Linked DNA regions of Xenopus tropicalis. The protein of the gene in region 1 interacts with the protein of each later gene in a biochemical or structural test. Links are inferred from orthologs where the notes say so. Each region holds a gene or a part of one and is shown in the gene's direction. Other genes may lie near its edges. The genes, in order: cask, plasma membrane calcium-transporting ATPase 4, cntnap2, caskin1 and fchsd2.

The links.
Region 2: the proteins of cask (region 1) and plasma membrane calcium-transporting ATPase 4 form a complex in vitro, tested with the Homo sapiens proteins (2 studies listed by BioGRID and IntAct, with this or other methods). The link is inferred for Xenopus tropicalis from reciprocal best matches to the Homo sapiens genes CASK and ATP2B4.
Region 3: the proteins of cask (region 1) and cntnap2 form a complex in vitro, tested with the Homo sapiens proteins (2 studies listed by BioGRID and IntAct, with this or other methods). The link is inferred for Xenopus tropicalis from reciprocal best matches to the Homo sapiens genes CASK and CNTNAP2.
Region 4: the proteins of cask (region 1) and caskin1 interact in a biophysical measurement, tested with the Homo sapiens proteins (2 studies listed by IntAct, with this or other methods). The link is inferred for Xenopus tropicalis from reciprocal best matches to the Homo sapiens genes CASK and CASKIN1.
Region 5: the proteins of cask (region 1) and fchsd2 form a complex in vitro, tested with the Homo sapiens proteins (2 studies listed by BioGRID and IntAct, with this or other methods). The link is inferred for Xenopus tropicalis from reciprocal best matches to the Homo sapiens genes CASK and FCHSD2.

The regions. Positions count from the first base shown.
Region 1 is NC_030678.2:56,619,879-56,623,394, forward strand, and holds part of cask (peripheral plasma membrane protein CASK), read left to right. Parts: intron 1-59; coding exon 60-95; intron 96-884; coding exon 885-1,081; intron 1,082-3,516. UniProt on the Homo sapiens protein: Multidomain scaffolding Mg(2+)-independent protein kinase that catalyzes the phosphotransfer from ATP to proteins such as NRXN1, and plays a role in synaptic transmembrane protein anchoring and ion channel trafficking.
Region 2 is NC_030678.2:70,269,583-70,273,098, reverse strand, and holds part of plasma membrane calcium-transporting ATPase 4, read left to right. Parts: intron 1-44; coding exon 45-302; intron 303-436; coding exon 437-562; intron 563-1,261; coding exon 1,262-1,390; intron 1,391-3,516. UniProt on the Homo sapiens protein: Calcium/calmodulin-regulated and magnesium-dependent enzyme that catalyzes the hydrolysis of ATP coupled with the transport of calcium out of the cell. By regulating sperm cell calcium homeostasis, may play a role in sperm motility.
Region 3 is NC_030682.2:56,137,153-56,141,286, reverse strand, and holds the start of cntnap2 (contactin-associated protein-like 2), read left to right. Parts: upstream 1-1,330; 5' UTR 1,331-1,799; coding exon 1,800-1,893; intron 1,894-4,134. UniProt on the Homo sapiens protein: Required for gap junction formation. Required, with CNTNAP1, for radial and longitudinal organization of myelinated axons.
Region 4 is NC_030685.2:19,460,950-19,465,018, forward strand, and holds the start of caskin1 (caskin-1), read left to right. Parts: upstream 1-1,263; 5' UTR 1,264-1,753; coding exon 1,754-1,847; intron 1,848-4,069.
Region 5 is NC_030678.2:172,222,722-172,226,237, reverse strand, and holds part of fchsd2 (F-BAR and double SH3 domains protein 2), read left to right. Parts: coding exon 1-60; intron 61-1,849; coding exon 1,850-2,011; intron 2,012-3,427; coding exon 3,428-3,516. UniProt on the Homo sapiens protein: Adapter protein that plays a role in endocytosis via clathrin-coated pits. Contributes to the internalization of cell surface receptors, such as integrin ITGB1 and transferrin receptor.

The DNA.
Region 1 (3,516 bases):
AAACTTTGGGTAGCCTGTAAAATAAAAATGTCTTCTTTTGGGTTGACTTTGTTCTGCAGGACATTCCAACAACCACCCAGACAAAAGGAAGACAGGTGAATACAATTTCTATATAACTTGTCATTTTTTTCCCTGGCTCCATTTGTCTTACTTGTATATTTATATAACAGTCTCAGCATCCCTCCTATATGCCACAGTTACGTTAGGTTGCATTTATTAGCAAGGTAAAAGGAATGAGGTTTTATAATATTTAGCTCAACATTTTTTTAACTTGATGGTATGAAAATCTTAAGTTGGCCATACATGTGAAGATCCGCTCATTTGGCGAGTTTGGCAAACAAGTGGATCTTTTACTGAAATGCCCACCTTGAGATGGGCGTTATTGAATCACATTTACAGGATACAGGCCATCAGGGTGAGGACTGCATCAATGCACCAATGCGCTCCTTGTTTTGAAGGGATTTTTAAACCTGTGTGATCAACATTTGTCCAATTTTTGCAAGGATATCGGTCAGATCCATACATAGACCGATAAACTGCCAACTCAGACTGCTGCCAGCTTTTATTGGCCAGTGTATAGTAGCTTTAGTCTTTTGTATAGACAGATGCTGAAAATAGTATTTCCATGTGATGCTATAGGATTTCAACATGTATGTCGTGTATAGATTTTTACTAGAAAATCTTGTATTCATTTTCCTTCTTTCATGCAAGCTTTAGCTCACTACTTTTATTTGCATGCTGATTACTAATTTTCACATCATTGTTCTTACTATTTGTAATGCTTACAAAAAGCACAGCATCGGATATGAAACAGGGCTTTCTGTGACCTTTCATGTTTAACCTCGCTAATCTCTTAATATTTCATGATTTATATTGTTACTTAGATATATGTAAGAGCACAATTTGAATATGATCCAGCAAAAGATGACCTCATTCCTTGTAAAGAAGCTGGCATCAGATTTAGAGTTGGAGACATTATCCAAATTATTAGTAAGGATGACCACAACTGGTGGCAGGGCAAACTGGAAAACGCTAAAAATGGCACTGCTGGTCTCATTCCCTCTCCTGAACTTCAAGAGTGGTAAGTGTTTTTGGTTTTATGGAGTGGGTTGTGTGTTTCCACTTACATGTTATAGTACTTTGTTATGGTTTGCTGATGCAGAGAATTGTTCATATGAATAGTCAGTTCTATCTTAAAAGTTAAATATTGCAGAAATCTACAATGATCCTGTTAAGGATTTTACCATCAAATTGAAAGGCTGTGTTCTCTACCCTAACCACAGGCCTTACTAAAAAAATGATTTATGAAATGAGCACAGCATATTTGATGGATCAATACTGTAGGTGGATGGGCAGTTCAGGTCTGCTTCACAGCACTAGCTTGGCCATAAGCTAGGGTTTCTGGTGGGCTAAATATTGGAAACAGTTGCTGAACACCCAAAATATTGTTGTTGTTTTTGCTTTTTGTGTGTGGCCACATCGTTTTGATTAAGTGTGCAGTTATTTTTACAAAAGCTATTTTCAAATAGTGTGCCACATATAATAATTTGAGTTGTTTCTCTGAAATTTACATTTTAACAATAAATTATCTTAATTTGCCTCCCTGTCATATATGTGCTTTAAATTAGGTTTCTGAACCTAGCTGTTCTCATCAACAGCAGCAGCAGTGAGATGTTAGCCACTAATATATCAATTGTAATGTGCTCTGTGACCGGGGATTTTCATGTGAAGCCATTGAAGCTGCTGGCTGCCACTAAACAGAATTGGTCGCTAAAAATATATGCATAAAACAGCCCATATGTAAACCATTTACATATGCTTTATCTAAATTACCCATTTTCATAAAAATATAAGTTTCTAGACATATTTGCCATAATCACAAAATGGGTAGCTTCTTAAATTGTATGATTCACAGGACACACAAACAAACCATATACATGCTAGGTCAAATTAGCCAATGAATAGACAAAGTTCTGACTTTTAGGGCTCTGGCACACGGGGGAGATTAGTCGCCCGCGATAAAACTCCCTGTTCGCAGGCAACTAATCTCCCCGAGTTGCCTACCTCTGCCATCCCACCGGCGAACATGTAAGTCGCCGGCGGGATGGCAGACGCGGCGGCGCGATTTCGCGCAAATCGCCGAAAAAGACTCGCGAGTCTTTTTCGGCGATTCCCTGAAATTGCCCCGCCGCGTCTGCCATCCCGCCGGCGACTTACATGTTCGCCTGTGGGATGGCAGGGGTAGGCAACTCGGGGAGATTAGTCGCCCGCGAACAGGGAGTTTTATCGCGGGCGACTAATCTCCCCCGTGTGCCAGAGCCCTTACTCCCACACTTTTTCCTGTTACAGTTAGAGCTGCATTACTTCTATTATTTGGAAATAAGTTTTGTTAACTGCCCTATTAATCTTAGCCATTATTAACCTGTCAAATATATGTTTTAAACACTGCATACAATGTTCCCTCTTATTACTTATTGGCTATGTGCGCAAAAAAATTAGGTCAGAATAAATTAAAAATTTTGTGTTTAGGTGAAAGCGCATAAGTGTATAGTTTTACCTTAATTTATAATTGGTGCTAAGTAAAGTAAATCCATTATTGTCACATGACTCTTTACTTGTGATCTTGTGTCCAATCCTAAAGCAAGGGTGAATAAGTGAACTTAATGTGGCATAGGCATTTGAAGAGGAATTTCTGAGGGAATTACATTTTTGGTTTGAGCTGTTTATGCAGTCTTTTGACATTATCAATTTGATAGGGAATGTTGTGGAAAAGCTTTACTGATTTCTAGAGGAGTAATAGTGCCTATAATTCCAGAAGTACTTGGGTTCTGTCTGTAATTATATTGTCATGTCCAAGCTTCTTGGCTCCTGCATGTAACTTGCATATTACCATCTCTTTCTGGAGAAGCATTTTGGCTCTGATAGGTATGTATGTATGTATGTATAACTTTATTTATAAAGCGCCACAAGGGTATGCAGCGCTGTACAGTCTTACAGAATACAAAATTACACACAGGGAGGACAAGTGATTGTATTTATTTATTATAAGTGCCATGTGGTATGAGACACAGTAGGAAGGAGGTCCCTGCCCCGTAGAGCTTACAATCTGAGTGGTTGGGTAACATACAGGCACAAACTGGAAGGTAAGAGTGCATCAGGTATGGGCATTTGCCCTTAAGCGCAGGACTGGGCAAAATAATGTTTTAGTGCTCCAGAAGGTAACAGCTGAGTTTTTTCTTAAAGAGAGTGGGTGAGTTTTCCCTACGGAGGGATTCAGGGATAGAGTTCCAGAGGTAAGGAGCAGCGAGATAGAAAGAAAGGTTTAAGACGAGAGAGCGCAGTGGGTGTGGATGGTGTAAAGAGACGGAGGCTCTGAGAGGAGCGGAGGAGACGACCAGGAACATGTAGGGAGACCAGTGAAGAAATGTAGTGAGGAGCAGAGGAGTGAAGGGCTTTGAATGTCAGCAGAAGGATTTTGTAAGCTATCCTTTGCTTGACAGGCAGCCATGCTAGTGA
Region 2 (3,516 bases), about 14 Mb from region 1:
TAGTACTGTTAGAATCTCAATTCTTCCTACTTTCCTTTTTGCAGTATGTGGGGAAGCTGCTGCAGGAGTGGAGGATGAAGGTGAGGCTCAAGCTGGATGGATTGAAGGGGCAGCCATCTTATTCTCGGTCATCATAGTTGTGCTTGTTACCGCCTTCAATGACTGGAGCAAAGAGAAGCAATTTCGAGGCCTACAGAGCCGAATTGAGCAGGAGCAGAAATTCACTGTTATCCGCAAAGGACAGGTTATCCAAATCCCTGTAGCAGAGCTAGTAGTCGGTGATATTGCACAAATAAAATATGGTATGTATAGGAAGAGTTTTTATAGACTATCACTGTTTAGAAATACAATAACAGTATTGTTATTTTCCCAGCATTCCACTGTAAACCTGTTTTATGATCTGATGTATAATCTGATGTATTTGTTTGTTATACAGGTGACCTCCTTCCTGCTGATGGGATATTGATTCAAGGCAATGACTTAAAAATTGATGAAAGCTCTCTAACTGGGGAGAGCGATCAGGTGAAAAAATCATTAGAGAAAGACCCCATGCTTTTGTCAGGTAAAATTGTTTCTATACCTGTGGGGTTAATTCTAAATAGAAGTGCTGTCTAAATTTGGTGATTTTGGTTGTATTTTTTTTTTTTTTTTAAATTGTATGGTGGCCCTTGCAGTTCTCTGTTGCTTGATGAATCCACACAAGTAGCAAATCGGTTCATAATCTGGCACATTTTTTGGCTATTCACTGACATTGTCGGACTAAGGTGTCTAGGGCCCCCCGTCCCAGTTGGTATTTGCAAGTACGCCTCTTCCACCCACCCCACCTGCTGCAGGTTTTTTCCTGGTGTCCCGCCGGCCCAGTCAGACCCTGATCACTGATGCAGTCGCATCAAATATGTTATGAGTAAAAGGGAACATACCGTCAAAGATGAATGCACAGTTGTAAATTAAATGTTTGTATGTGCAAATATTGTACCTACATCCCCACAAATATGTTTAAAAGTGCACATTTTAGACTTGCAGCCAAACTACATTAAGCCCTATAGCTATAGGGTTACTAAATGGCACAAAATGGAATCCTTCACCAGACTTGCAATGGTATGCCACAGGTACTGTGGGGTTTAGAATTGAATGCAAATTCTGGGCATATCAGGAAGTTTTAGATTATTGCAATTTTTATAACCCTCAAATATTTAAAATAAATAGATATATAAATTAGCTCCATGATGTTAGTAATAGCTTCTGCCTTGTTTGCCCACAGGAACACACGTAATGGAAGGGTCTGGACGTATGGTAGTCACAGCAGTAGGTGTCAACTCTCAAACTGGCATAATATTCACTTTGCTAGGTGCAAATGAGGGAGGTGAAGAGGAAAAAAAATCCAAAAAAGGTAATAATCCCTTGCACAGTATTTAAAAATTGGGTTTATAATGAGCAACCAAGGAACAAGAGTAACTCACTTGGATTTGCTCATGATTCATTGTAAGTTCACAATCTAAGTAAAAAAAAAAAAAAAAAAACAGATATTGAGATTGTGTAACATTTTTTTTGTTTTCTTTTTTTTTACATCGTTGTATAAAATCTTCGATCTGACACTTTAAATGAAACAAATTATGTATGTACAATTCCAAAAATGTTTTAATATATATTAATAAATATTGTAAAAATAAAACAAAACTGGGTTTATGTCAGCCCTTTACAAATGATTCTGGTTTGTATCAGACTATATTTACATGTGCAGAGGTCTACATACTACAGCAGTCTTCAAGTAAGTTAAAACACAGAATAGAAATATTTCTTCTTTGCTTTTGTGATCTGGTGTGCATACGTATACATAACTAATTTAGCAATTTGTGACTGTCAATTGTATTTTAGATGACATGGTTGGAAAGAAAATATTGGTTTTAATTTTCCTATATCAGTTCCTGTATCCTGTATTTCCTATATCAGCTCCTGCTTGCAATTGGAAATCCTTACAAACTTGTCTTAATTTTTCTAGGAGATTTTTTTTGGAAAAATTCCTTTTACCTTCCGCTGTCCTCACATCTTTGCTTTGCAACAGTTTTTTAACACTCACTGTGTCCTATTCACAGACTTTTTCTATCCATACTCATCTCTAACATTTGTGTGGGTGAGCATTTGGGGAACAGTGATCACAACATGGTCTCCTTTGAGATAATGCTGCAGAGACAGCTCTATAAGGGAGTAACTAAAACGCTCGATTTTAGATGTGCAGACTTTGCCAGTATAAGGGCATCTCTGCAATGTGTCAACTGGGAAAGGCTTAGGTTAGACACGGAAGGAAAATGGAACATCTTTAAAACATTGCTTTGCTGGTATACACAACAGTATATTCCCCTTGTACGAAGGAGAGGCATCGCAAAGCAAAACCTTTATGGCTGAATAAAAGTGTTAGTGTCGAGGTTGGTAAGAAAAAACGTGCTTTTAAAGCATTCAAGTTAGCTGGGACAGACGAAACTTTCATCAGGTACAAGGAAGCAAATAAAGCATGCAAAAAAGCTATCAGGCAAGCTAGAATAGAGATGGAAAGGGATATTGCAGCTAGGAGTAAAAAGAATCCAAAATTATTTTTTAATTATGTGAATGGTAAAAAAATGAAGCAAGAAGGGGTGGGAACCTTATTATCACAGGGGGGTAAGTTGGTTGATGAGAACGGGGAAAAAGCAGAAATTTTGAACTCCTTATTTTTCATCTGTCTATACATCTGAGGAGCCAGCTAATGAAGGCTTCCCTTTTAATATGCCCAGTTCTAGTAATTTAGCTACTGACACATGGGTCACTCAGGAGGAAATTCAAAAGAGACTTGAACATGTAAAGGTAAACAAAGGTCCAGGACCGGATGGGATTCATCCCAGGGTATTAAATGAGCTGAGCGCTGTGATTGCCAAGCCTCTTCACATAATTTTTCAGGATTCGTTGAGGTCTGGCATGGTGCCGAGAGACTGGCGAATTGCTAATAAGGGATAGGGTACTTTAATACAGTGCAGTTCACAATACTATAAGTTTGTGCCAGCATGGTTTTATGCGTAACAGATCTTGCCAGACTAATTTAGTCGCCTTTTATGAGGAGGTGAGCAGGAACCTCGATGCTGGAATGGCAGTTGATGTCATCTACTTGGACTTTGCTAAAGTGTTTTATACAGTACCTCCCAGAAGGTTGATGATCAAATTGAGGAATATTGGCCTAGAACGTAATATTTGTAATTGGATATAGAACTGGCTGAAGGATAGATTACAAAGAGTGGTGGTAAATAGAACATTTTCTAATTGGACCAGTGTGGTTAGAAGAGTACCGCAGGGGTCAGTCCTTGGTCCTTTGCTTTTTAACTTGTTTATTAATGACCTGGAGGTGGGCATAGACAATATTGTTTCTATTTTTGCTGATGACACTAAATTGTGCAAAACTATAAGTTCCATGCAGGATGCTGCCACTTTGCAGAGCGATTTGAAAATATTGGAAAACTGGGCAGCAAACTGGAAAATGAGGTTCAATGT
Region 3 (4,134 bases), on another chromosome or scaffold:
ATTAGGATTTGGAAGGGTTAATGTTGCCGCATAAACACGGAAGTGTAAAATTTAGACATTTAACCTTTCCAAATCCCAATTAGCATATGTTAATTAGGATTCGGATTCAGTTTGGTAAATCCCTTCAGATGGATTTGGGGGTTCGCCCAAACACGAGAAATTGGGTTCGGTGCATCCCTACTTCATATGAAAGTTATCAGCAACTCTTTGTTATTCTTTGCACTCCTGGTTCTGACTATTGAAAATAGTCCTCAGACCTCAGAAGAATTGTCCTGATAGGGAGAAAATACTGTAGATTCTGCTACATTGTTTCAAGAACCAAAACAAGGAGAACATAAAGTGAGAGGAAAATACTGCTTTCTGTTACTGAATAACTTTAAAACAGTAGAAACATTTTCAATTATGTATTTTGGAAATTGTTAGAATGGCATTTTCTTACATTAAGCACATACTGGCTTTTATATTTCCATTTACTTCCAACAATTCAACAGTTTATTTTCCATAAAATGGCCAGAAAAAGGTCTTTGTAAGTCTATGTTTACTTTATAATTCATAAGCATCTTATTCAGAACTGTCTTCTTAGGAAATGTCATGCAGTGCTGCACATACATTGCTTTTGCATTTAATCATTTGTATCTGAGCTAGCCAACAAGGTTTCTTTGTATATGGGACAGTTTAGAAATATGTTTTTATGTATTTCTGTTTGAAGCCTATGATGTTTGCATGTGGGTGCCCTATTGACAGAAGGAGCACTGCCATGTGCATTGTTCTGACTGTTCCAGTGCTTTGCATTACACGAGTCATGTTTAAATGCACTTGACTGTTAGCAAAAGGCCATCTACTGATTATCTGCTGAACTGCAGGCAATAACCCAAGCATCCCAGTATCCCTGATCAGCCTTTTAATAGGTCCCCTCCCCCCTTCCATCAGTCTGCAGGAGCTGGTGCAGAGATTAAAACAACACAAGGGTTCTGCTTCATGCCATCTACGCTCAGCCATTGAACACTCTGCTCCCTCTGACTGCCTCATAAAAGCAAGATTTCTGCCTAAGGTTTCTGGCTGAAGGAACACAGCAGGGCTGGGGAGGAAGAAGCAGTGGCAGCATCAGCAGCAGCCGGCGGAGTGGAGCCGGTGTGGGCTGTGCTGCAGTGCTGGAGCTCTGCTTCCTCTTAGAGAGCTGCTGAATAAATATAGCTCTGTGCTTTTCAATGTGATTGTGGGGAGTGTCTTCTCCTGTGCCTGCCTGCTCTGCTGTGTGGCTGCATATATATATATATATATATATACAGTATGACTGTGTGTTTCTGAGCTGGGTTATTCCAATCTCTGGAATTGGAAGGGCTCAGCTGCGGAGACAGCTTCAGCAGCACTGCTTCCATCTCCCTGCTCCTCACTCCTATCCTAATCTACTTGCCCATGGCCGGTGTGGGATTTTCCTGTTAAGATACACACACTCTTCCGATACAGGTTGTTTGATCTGTTTCTTTCTGTTTCTCTGTGTCTGCTTCTTAGCCATGATCTTCAGAAGTGTGAGAACAAGTTTGGTAATTCACTGCTAAGGACATCAAGGGGACTTGAAGACCCAATCAAGGGTCTGGCAAAGCAGGGCAGGGGTGGGCTTGTTATTCTTGGACAAGGGGGGAGGTAAATATTTAACCACCCCACCCTCAGCTATTTCCTATCTTCCACTCCCCTTCTCATCAAAGCAAGCAAGGCTACAGAACAGGAATACTGTTGGGAGAAGTTCCACATACACACTGCTGGGATCTGGAGTTTATACCTAGGACCATTTGCAAGCCATGGTTTGGATATTCAGAGACAGGTGCACTGTTCCATTCCTGGGGATTTTGAGCTGCATCTACTGCATGGCCCGGAGTGCCTCCCCTACATCTAGTAAGTCTTTTATCCCTTTCTATTTCCCACTTGTTTCCCACGGCTCCCTGACATATAAACAGAGATCTTTTGCCCCTGCTGCTGTCTTCAATCACTATATACTCAACACTGTATGTCACCCAGTGCCTGGCTGCAGACGGCTCACACAGCATATTTCCTAAAAGTTATGAAATTCCCCCGCTCCAATGAGAATTCTAACATTTGCTGATTCCTCATGGTACTAATCGGAAAGGAAAACATTTGCTTATAAGGCACAAAGGCATGAGCCATCTGATTAAACATTAGTCGCAGATAAGTGGCAAAGCCTCATGCTGCATGACTTTATTAATACTTAAGCAGCTCACACAGGGTGAATGGAATGTGGATGATTTCCATTACGGTCCTGCTGAAACTGAATAAGTCTGGGGTGCACAAGGAGTGTTAGAATGGCAGCATTATTGTAGGGAAGTTATGTGCTTTGATACAGCAGCTTGGTTCTTTTTTTGTCTGAAATACCAGTAAGAAAGTTTGTTGTGCATTGATTTCCCAGAAATAAAGTGCAAAAAACTGATGAATGAATGCTTCATTTACAAATTAGATGGGAAAACAAACATATTTGGAAGTTGTTAATTTTAAACATGGAATTCTTGTGAATGAAAGCACGTATTTTTGTGAAAGCTAGGCTGCTGTTATTATCATGGGGCGTAATGTGCCATGTGTGCCCACTGTGTGGTTCTGCTGCTTCTACCATAAACATATATTATTGGCATGTGAGCTGTGTTTTATTTCATATAAATTGCTTTTATAATCAGATCTATGGCCTTCAGCTGTTGTAGGGCTACAGATGGTGGGTATTGAAGTTTATAGCTAGCAGGAGGGCAGCAGGTAGGGCGGCCTTGGTGTTTATAGAAGATTTATTTATTTGGCCTCATTTTCAGCATTGCCTAACCATGACAATTAATGGCATTAACTACCCCCCCCCCCCCCCCCCCCCGTGTGCATGGGACTATATTGTCTGAGATGAAGATATTTTTTCTGTAATTGCAAGTCGACAATGTGTGATAGACTCTCTGATATCCATTAATTATTGTTGATACTCAGTCAGGTAAATGCTGAGGGCAGAAGCTGAACCTGTCACATTACAGTCCTGCACCTCTGCATCTTTGGGGCTTCCTGTGATGCTGTTTGACTAGAGTTACTATGGTTGTACCTCTCAGATGTCTATGTGAATACATGCATATTATAGCTATTCTTGATATGATTTAGTGTATTTGCTACTTTCTGTAAGGCTGTTTACGTAATATGCTAATTTAAGAGGCATATTTATCAGTGGTTAAATGGACAGTTTGAGTGGCGTCCTCCTTTGGTAAACTATAGGGTACTGTATATTCACTCTTTTATATAGTTGCTGCCATTTGTAGAACTGGGCATGCTACTGAAAGTATAGCAATCAATTTATGAAATTAAACAGACCATTTCATGTGTTATGTAGTTGGATTAAAATGCAGCAACACAGACCTTATAAAGTGTATACGTGACCATTAACCTCTTGTGCTCCTGGATAGTCTTAGTACTGTCAGAATTCAGTAAGATGGTGACACTGTGTTCTGGGCACTGTCTCCAGCTATTCTGAATAAGGTTTTAATTACAAATGCAGGATAGGCAGTAATATTCAACTGTCAGTGATATAAGAGTGGCAACTTAAACATATGGTTGCTAAGTTTCATTTAAACACAAATCCCAGCAAGCATTCATCAATAGAAAGATGCTGGGAGTTGTAGATAAAGCATCTCTGGAGGGCTTCCAGTAACCAATCCCAACATGAGTATGAAAGCTTTTGTGCCCTTTAAGTTTTAATCTGACTTAGCAGCACATCTGCCAATGAAACCAAGTGATGAATGTCCCCTGCCTCCTCCTTTATGTGTAGGTGAAATTAACTACTTGCATGCCAACACAAAGATAGTAGATATATAACATTAAAAGGAAAGATATATAACATTAAAATGTGCTATAACGCGATTTTTAAATATTGTAATTGTATAATTTGTATTAATTAATCGTTATAATGTCTTTGTACATAAATATTGACAAACAAATAGCATTGAACTGAGATATTGCCTGATGTTGCTATGCTTTGAGACATTTCCATGTCCATAAGGCTTATTTACGAATATAGGTGCTAAATTGCATAAATGCAGTTGCCAACAGCTTCTAATCAGCAACTGGTTATCGACAGTCTACAACAAGTTAGAAAATGAAAGC
Region 4 (4,069 bases), on another chromosome or scaffold:
GCCCTGGGCACAGGTGTATGTAAGTGCCGGTAGGTGCCCTGGGCACAGGTGTATGTAAGTGCCAGTAGGTGCCGGTAGGTGTATGTAAGTGCCAGTAGGTGCCGGTAGGTGCCCTAGGCACAGGTGTATGTATGTGCCAGTAGGTGCCCTGGGCACAGGTGTATGTAAGTGCCGGTAGGTGCCATGGGCACAGGTGTATGTAAGTGCCAGTAGGTGCCCTGGGCACAGGTGTATGTAAGTGCAGGTAGGTGCCCTGGGCACAGGTGTATGTAAGTGCCAATAGGTGCCCTGGGCACAGGTGTATGTAAGTGCCAGTAGGTGCCGGTAGGTGTATGTAAGTGCCAGTAGGTGCCGGTAGGTGTATGTAAGTGCCAGTAGGTGCCCTGGGCACAGGTGTATGTGTGTGCCGGTAGGTGCCGGTAGGTGTATGTAGTAGCCGGTAGGTGTATGTAGGTGCCGGTAGGTGCCCTGGGCACAGGTGTATGTAGGTGCCGGTAGGTGTATGTAAGTGCCGGTAGGTGTATGTAAGTGCCGGTAGGTGTATGTAGGTGCCGGTAGGTGTATGTAAGTGCCAGTAGGTGCCGGTAGGTGCCCTGGGCACAGGTGTATGTAGGTGCCGGTAGGTGTATGTAAGTGCCAGTAGGTGCCCTGGGCACAGGTGTATGTGTGTGCCGGTAGGTGCCGGTAGGTGTATGTAGTAGCCGGTAGGTGTATGTAGGTGCCGGTAGGTGCCCTGGGCACAGGTGTATGTAGGTGCCGGTAGGTGTATGTAAGTGCCGGTAGGTGTATGTAAGTGCCGGTAGGTGTATGTAGGTGCCGGTAGGTGTATGTAAGTGCCAGTAGGTGCCGGTAGGTGCCCTGGGCACAGGTGTATGTAGGTGCCGGTAGGTGTATGTAAGTGCCAGTAGGTGCCCTGGGCACAGGTGTATGTGTGTGCCGGTAGGTGCCGGTAGGTGTATGTAGTAGCCGGTAGGTGTATGTAGGTGCCGGTAGGTGCCCTGGGCACAGGTGTATGTAGGTGCCGGTAGGTGTATGTAAGTGCCGGTAGGTGTATGTAAGTGCCGGTAGGTGTATGTAGGTGCCGGTAGGTGTATGTAAGTGCCAGTAGGTGCCGGTAGGTGCCGGTAGGTGCATGGGTGCAGTTGCGCTGCTGGAAATTGCAGGTTTTGCTGCCGCGGATCCGCCTCTGGATGCAGCTGAGTGTGAGCGCAGCCAATACAGGGGGAGAGGGAGGAGGGATCAGGAGAGGGAGAGAGGCGGATCGCAGTCGCACACACACAGTCACACACACTGCCTGCACCCCGGAGCCGAGCATCCTTTAGCGGGAGAGCCTGTCCTGCACCGGGAGCAGTATCCTGGGGTGACCCTGTGCGCCCACATACCCGGGGGAGCAGTGCGGCCATCGCGCAGCCGGTGAGGGAGAAGCAGGGCGAAACATCCCCTAACGAACCGGGAACCCCGAACCCCCGTATTCAGGATGGTGATTGCTGCTCACTTGCTTGTAGTGTGGCTCCTCCCGGCTGGAGGTGTCTCTATTGCCCCCCAGCACATCTGACAGTCTCCCCCCATCTCCCCACCCCTGCAGGGAGCCTGATCTCCATCACCCCTCACCATTTTCCACCTCTTCATCATCCTCAACGCCTTCTGCCAAAAAGGATGCTCTGGCTCTAAGGACCAATCTGAGCAGGATCTGCCCCCTCCCTCCCCAGCTTTAGCCCCATCTGACCCCCCCTCCCCAGTGAAAGGAAGAAGGATGGGGAAGGACCAGGAGCTGCTCCAGGCTGTGAAGACCGAGGACCTGGGGATGGTACAGAAGCTGCTGCAGAGACCCAAGGCAGGCAAAGCCAGTGAGTAGCACAGAGATGATCCATTTAATTGGCTCAAGAGCTTGAAGGGGATTTAATCAGCAAAGAATTAATTAGCAGGCACTTTCCCTGCGCAAGGATTGCCCAACCTGAGGCCCTCAAGTTGGCGACGAACGACAACTCCCAGCATCCTTCATAATTGGCTATTGGTGGATGCTGGGAGCTTCAATTCAACCTCACCAGGTTGGGCATTCCTCATGTAGTAGATACTGTTTGTGGCTAAAATTGGCCCCTTTGCCATGAACACAGCTGCAGTTGGCACCGTGGGCCTCAGTTACTGGGGGCAAACTGCATGTTGGTGCCACGTTATGTTTTCCACTTAAGTTACTGAACTCTCAGGCCAGTTGACTGCCCTGTCGTGTCAGATTTTGCACATATGTATGCCAGCCAATGGGGTATTTGCTTGAGAGCTTTTATACAGTATCCTTGCATGCCCACTGTGCCCTGTGTTATGATGTGCACACCAGCCTCTGCAAGATACCCCTTCTTCTACTGACAGCTAGGTATTAGCAGGGTTATGTACCAAGTGGTGCCATGTGCAAAAGAAGTGCAATCCACCATTAATTCCAGTGGCGTTGCCCTTACTCTGCAGGCTATAATACCCCATTTTAGCGACAAATATGTATTTTGCATTGGTTGCAACATGAATTTGGGTGCTGCTCTCGGTTTGGTGGATGCACTTTGTGTGTGTTGGGGTGGGGAGGATTTCAGGCTAAGGATATAGTACGGGTACATGTGCAGAAAGATGTTTCATGGAGGGACATGCAGAGGGAGCATCATTTTCACCTCACAAGTGACGAAAGGGTTAATCATATGTATGAAGGGAATATTGCATATTTGGGTGCCATGTCATTACATGATGGATTCATACATAGACACCTGTTCTTCCCATGCATTGTAATGAGATCAGTATTAAGAATATATATATATATATATAGGGTGTAAGCTTTGCTGGCAGCTATGTCCCAATGATGTCCACCTCGCAGCCCTCTGGCTTTTTCCTAAACCACAACTCCCAGCAACCATGGGATAACGTGGCTGCAAAGTTGGCCGTCGCTGGCAGCAGAAGTTTGGGGGCTCGTGTTGCAGCTAGAAGAAAATGCCATTGCCGGGCCCTGAGAGAGAGTGTTATTGGCCCTGAAAGAGTGTTAATGGCATGACGCCGCTGTCAGGCTCAGCTGGTGCCTCCTGACTGGGGAAAGGACTGTGAGAGGGAAAAGCTAATCTGCATTAGTGGTACAGGGATTCTGATGGGTGAGGGGCGTCCGGTGGAGGTCTGTGATTGCTGCAGCATGCAGGAATGGGAGGGGACATGGTGGAAGCGTTGGGTCCCTATGCTGGATATGGTACCTATGGTATCCTGGTCCTTTGCCTGGCAGTCCCACTGCTCAGTGTATCAAAGGGAGGATATCATTTTACAGCATCTCCTTATACATGCCAGGTCCGGTTCCACTTTTCCTGCTCCCACTGGTTTTGTTTGGGTTATATCTTTGGGTCCTGGAATCCCAGTCTTGATGCTTATGTGGCAGTGTTGTTGTTTTACCTCATGGTCTATGACTGTCATTCATATATGGCTACCTGTATATTCTTTGGCCTTCATTCATTTATACAGTATTTGGATAAAAAAGGAACAAAATTCCAGGTCTGTGCCATCACTTCTTGTCATGGCATCATTTATACAGTATTTGTATTGAGAAGGGACAGAATGCCTGGTCTGTGTCATGACCTCCTCTCATGGCAGCATTTATAAAGTATTTGTATTGAGGAGGGATAGAATGCCTGGTCTGTGCCATGACTTCCTGTCATGGCAGCATTTATATAGCATTTGTATTGAGGAGGGATAGAATGCCTGGTCTGTGCCATAACTTCCTGTCATGGCAGCATTTATATAGCATTTGTATTGAGGAGGGATAGAATGCCTGGTCTGTGCCATGACCTCCTCTCATGGCAGCATTTATACAGTATTTGTATTGAGGAGGGATAGAATGCATGGTCTGTGCCATGACCTCCTCTCATGGCAGCATTTATACTGTATTTGTATTGAAGAGTAACATGGTGCTTTATAAATATATGTTAAATGTTAATAATAACAGAATGCCTGGTCTGTGCCATAACTTCCTGCCATGGCAGCATTTATACAGTATTTGTCTTGAGGAGGGACAGAATGCTGGGTCTGACACAAACTCATGGCAGCCCAAGCAGTG
Region 5 (3,516 bases), about 120 Mb from region 1:
AGCCGGATGGAACTGGAACAAAAGATAGAAGAGACTAGAGAGAATATGCGCAAGGCAGAGGTAAGTTGTGCCATCTGTAACACTGGGGTAAATCGGGGGGCCAACAAGCAGTGCAGTTGTGTTGTGCTCCCAGATTTTAGAACTTTGCTTGCGCACAGAGGCAAGATTTGAAGCAAGAACTTGCAGCAAAAGTCACTGGTTGCTGATGAGTATTATGTCCCAGTAAGGGTTAAGGCCTTAGGCAAGAATATGAGGACTCTATCTGTCTCTGGTTTCACGACAAAGGGCAATATTCTTTGTCGCCTGATTCTCTTCCTCAGGTGTGACATTGTTTAGCGTCCCTGTGTCTGGTTGCTGCAGGGGTTAGGTTACCGTATGCCCTTTCAGATCAGAAACTTCAACACTTCATTGGCCTGGTTACTTTCCCATGGCTGGGGGAGGCTGTTTCGTAATGCACCTATGACTTTCTGGTCCGGTATTTCCCATACCTAGAGTGTAAAGTCCATAAATATTGGATGCAGATCTACCATCTGTACCGCATTGTTAAATAAAGGGGAAGTAAGAAAGATAATCTAGGCTCTAAATTGCCCTATTGCTGCTGCTTATACCTCAGATTCTTACTTTCATTATCTAACTCGTGTTTCCTTATCTAACTCGTGTTTCTCCAGTTTCCTTAATAAAGATTCACCCAGATCCATTTGGTTTTGCCCAAATGCTCCACGAGCAATTACAATTACTAGCAACCGCTTTCAGGGGGCATTTACAGCTGAGGGCACTAGCGTATCTATATAGGGGGCAAATCCAATGACCTATTTTGTGTTGCCTTTCTAATAAGGTCTATATTTGGATTTGTAATATAGCTGTGAGAACATTAGCAGCATGGTGGCACGCACATGAGGTTGCAGGAAGATACTGGATACCTAGGGCAGCTAATGATTATTTGTGCTTGATTAGACAGTGAGAATTGCCAAGCAAAAGCTCTACCCTCCTACCCTTTCACTTAACATGTAATTTATCTATCTGGTTATAAGTTACTTATCTGTCTTTGGTAACTGATGCCTTGTTATGCTTCATTATTGCTAAGTCTAATGTCCCACAGGGAGATTAGTCACCCACAATAAATTTCTGCTAACGTGGGCAACTGCTCTCCCCTAAATACTTTTCCACCGGCAGTAATGTGAACTGCCGGTGAGAAGGCATACGCATCACTAAGATGCCCGACGTTTCCTCGCAATTGGCAAAGCAAATGTCTTCCCACCAGGAAGCCAGTGATTTCTAATTCAAAATTCAAAGGAAATGTGTCCATAGAAATGGTTAGCACTGCTTCTGCCTCTGGATCCTAAGTTCCTTTGTGACCTGGAAACCATCTGCAAGGAGTTTATGCTTTTTCCCATTGTCTGTATAGGTTTCATGCCAGTACTTTAGCTTCCTCCCACATACCAAAAGCATACAAGCAAGTTAATTGGATGCAACAAGATTGGCCACGTGAATGTGATAGGGACCTTGGAATGTAAGCTCACTGGGGCAGGGGCTGATGGGAATGTGATAGGGACCTTAGATTGTAAGCTCCACTGGGGCAGGGACTGACGGGAATGTGATAAGGACCTTAGATTGTAAGCTCACTGGGGCAGGGACTGATGGCAATGTTATAGGGACCTTTGAGTGTAAGCTTCACTGGGGCAGGGACTGATGGGAATGTGATAGGGACCTTAGATTGTAAGCTCCACTGGGGCAGGGACTGATAGGAATTTGACAGGGACCTTAGATTGTAAGCTTCACTGGGGCGGGGACTGATGAAATATGCCACTATATAAAAAACAATAACAAATAATGTTCTATTCCTGTACAGATTACAAAGCTAAAAGCTGAAGCCCGACTGGATCTGTTGCGGCAAATCGGTGTGTCGGTGGACACGTGGCTGAAGAGTGCAATGAATCAGGTGATGGAGGAGCTGGAGAATGAGCGCTGGGCAAGCCTCCCAACCCTGATGAATAATGGCTCCTCCCATATGGTATAGTCACATTACCTCTATATATAATATAATATAAAATATATTATATTAAAATGCACCTTATTTACGGTTGCAGCTACAGTCACTGCAAAAAAATGGCAACCTGCAGCTCATGAATGACTTCTTTTTCTATTATTGCCCAGTGGGTTCTGTTCCAGCTGTTGCCAATCTCCTATTCGATTGGGCCACATATGTGCTGTCTCATGTGTGCTGGGTATATCATTTGGGTAGTTACTAATACTAAGATCCTTGTCATTCTGTGATTGCATTAAAATGGAAGTGAATTAGGATTTACAGTACTTACTGTAATTAAATCTCGCCATAAAACCACAGGCAGGAACAACCCAAAGCAATGTATTTCCGAGCTGCTGATTGTAAGTTAAATCTATTACCGGCCTATTGCCCTTTAACATGAGGAATTCTCTATATTACAAGTTAATGAGCCAGTGGGTGTCTCACCATAAATCATGCTCCCAGGTTATGAAACGCTGGCCGGCAGTCTGATAAACTGTCTGGGAGGCACCGGCCGATGAGTGGCACCTCATTTACAGCAAATGTAAATGAAAGGAACACAAGGCTGGGAATGTGTAGTAATTGCAGCGTGAGTCTCCGGTGTCACAAGGGGAGCGTCTCGCTTACTCATTAACTCCGGCTTCTTGTGCTGAAAGGCAGAATTCTCTAAATGCCAGTGCTGAAAACACTGCAGTAAATAAATAAAGTTGTACAGTTACACATCTGTTTAAAGAGACAGCAGGCCTTGTACCACAAAGCTTACAGTCCAAGCAAGATAGACACAAATACTGTAGAAGGGCAATAGGTGCTACCATTCATCGTGTACTATGGATATCTGTGGATTTGTCAGGTTTTACACTTTTTTACACTTCACCTTTAAGTATGTTATAGAATGACCAATTCTAAGCAACTTTTTAGTTGGTCTTCATTATTTATTTTTTATCGTTTTTGAACTATTTGCCTTCTTCTGCAGCTTTCAAATGGGGGTCACTGACCCCGGCAGCCAGAAACGATTGCTCTGTGAGGCTCCAGTTTTCTTGTTATTGTTACTTTTTTTTATAACCTTTTCTATCCAGTCCCTCTGCCATTCATATACCAGCCTTCTCATTCAAACCAGGCCTTGGTTGCTATGGTAATTTGGACCCTAGCAACCAGATAGCTGCTCAATCTCCAAACTGAAAAGCTGCTAAACAAAGTCAAATAACTAAAAAAAAAAAATACAAATAATAAAAAATAAAGTCCAATTACAAATTTTATCAGAATATCACTTGCTACATCACACTAAAAGTTAATTCAAAGGTGAACAACCCCTTTAAGGTGAAGAATAGCCACAGCGTTAGGTGTGTTGTTGGTTTTGATGTTCCCCCGACAGAAGGCCTGATTTCTTTGGTTGTTTGCTGACAGGGAGGCACAGATGTGGATCGGGAGGATGGAGAGGAGTTGGAGGACAGCATGGATGCCTTTGATGACAGCAGCTCCAGTCCTTCTGGCAC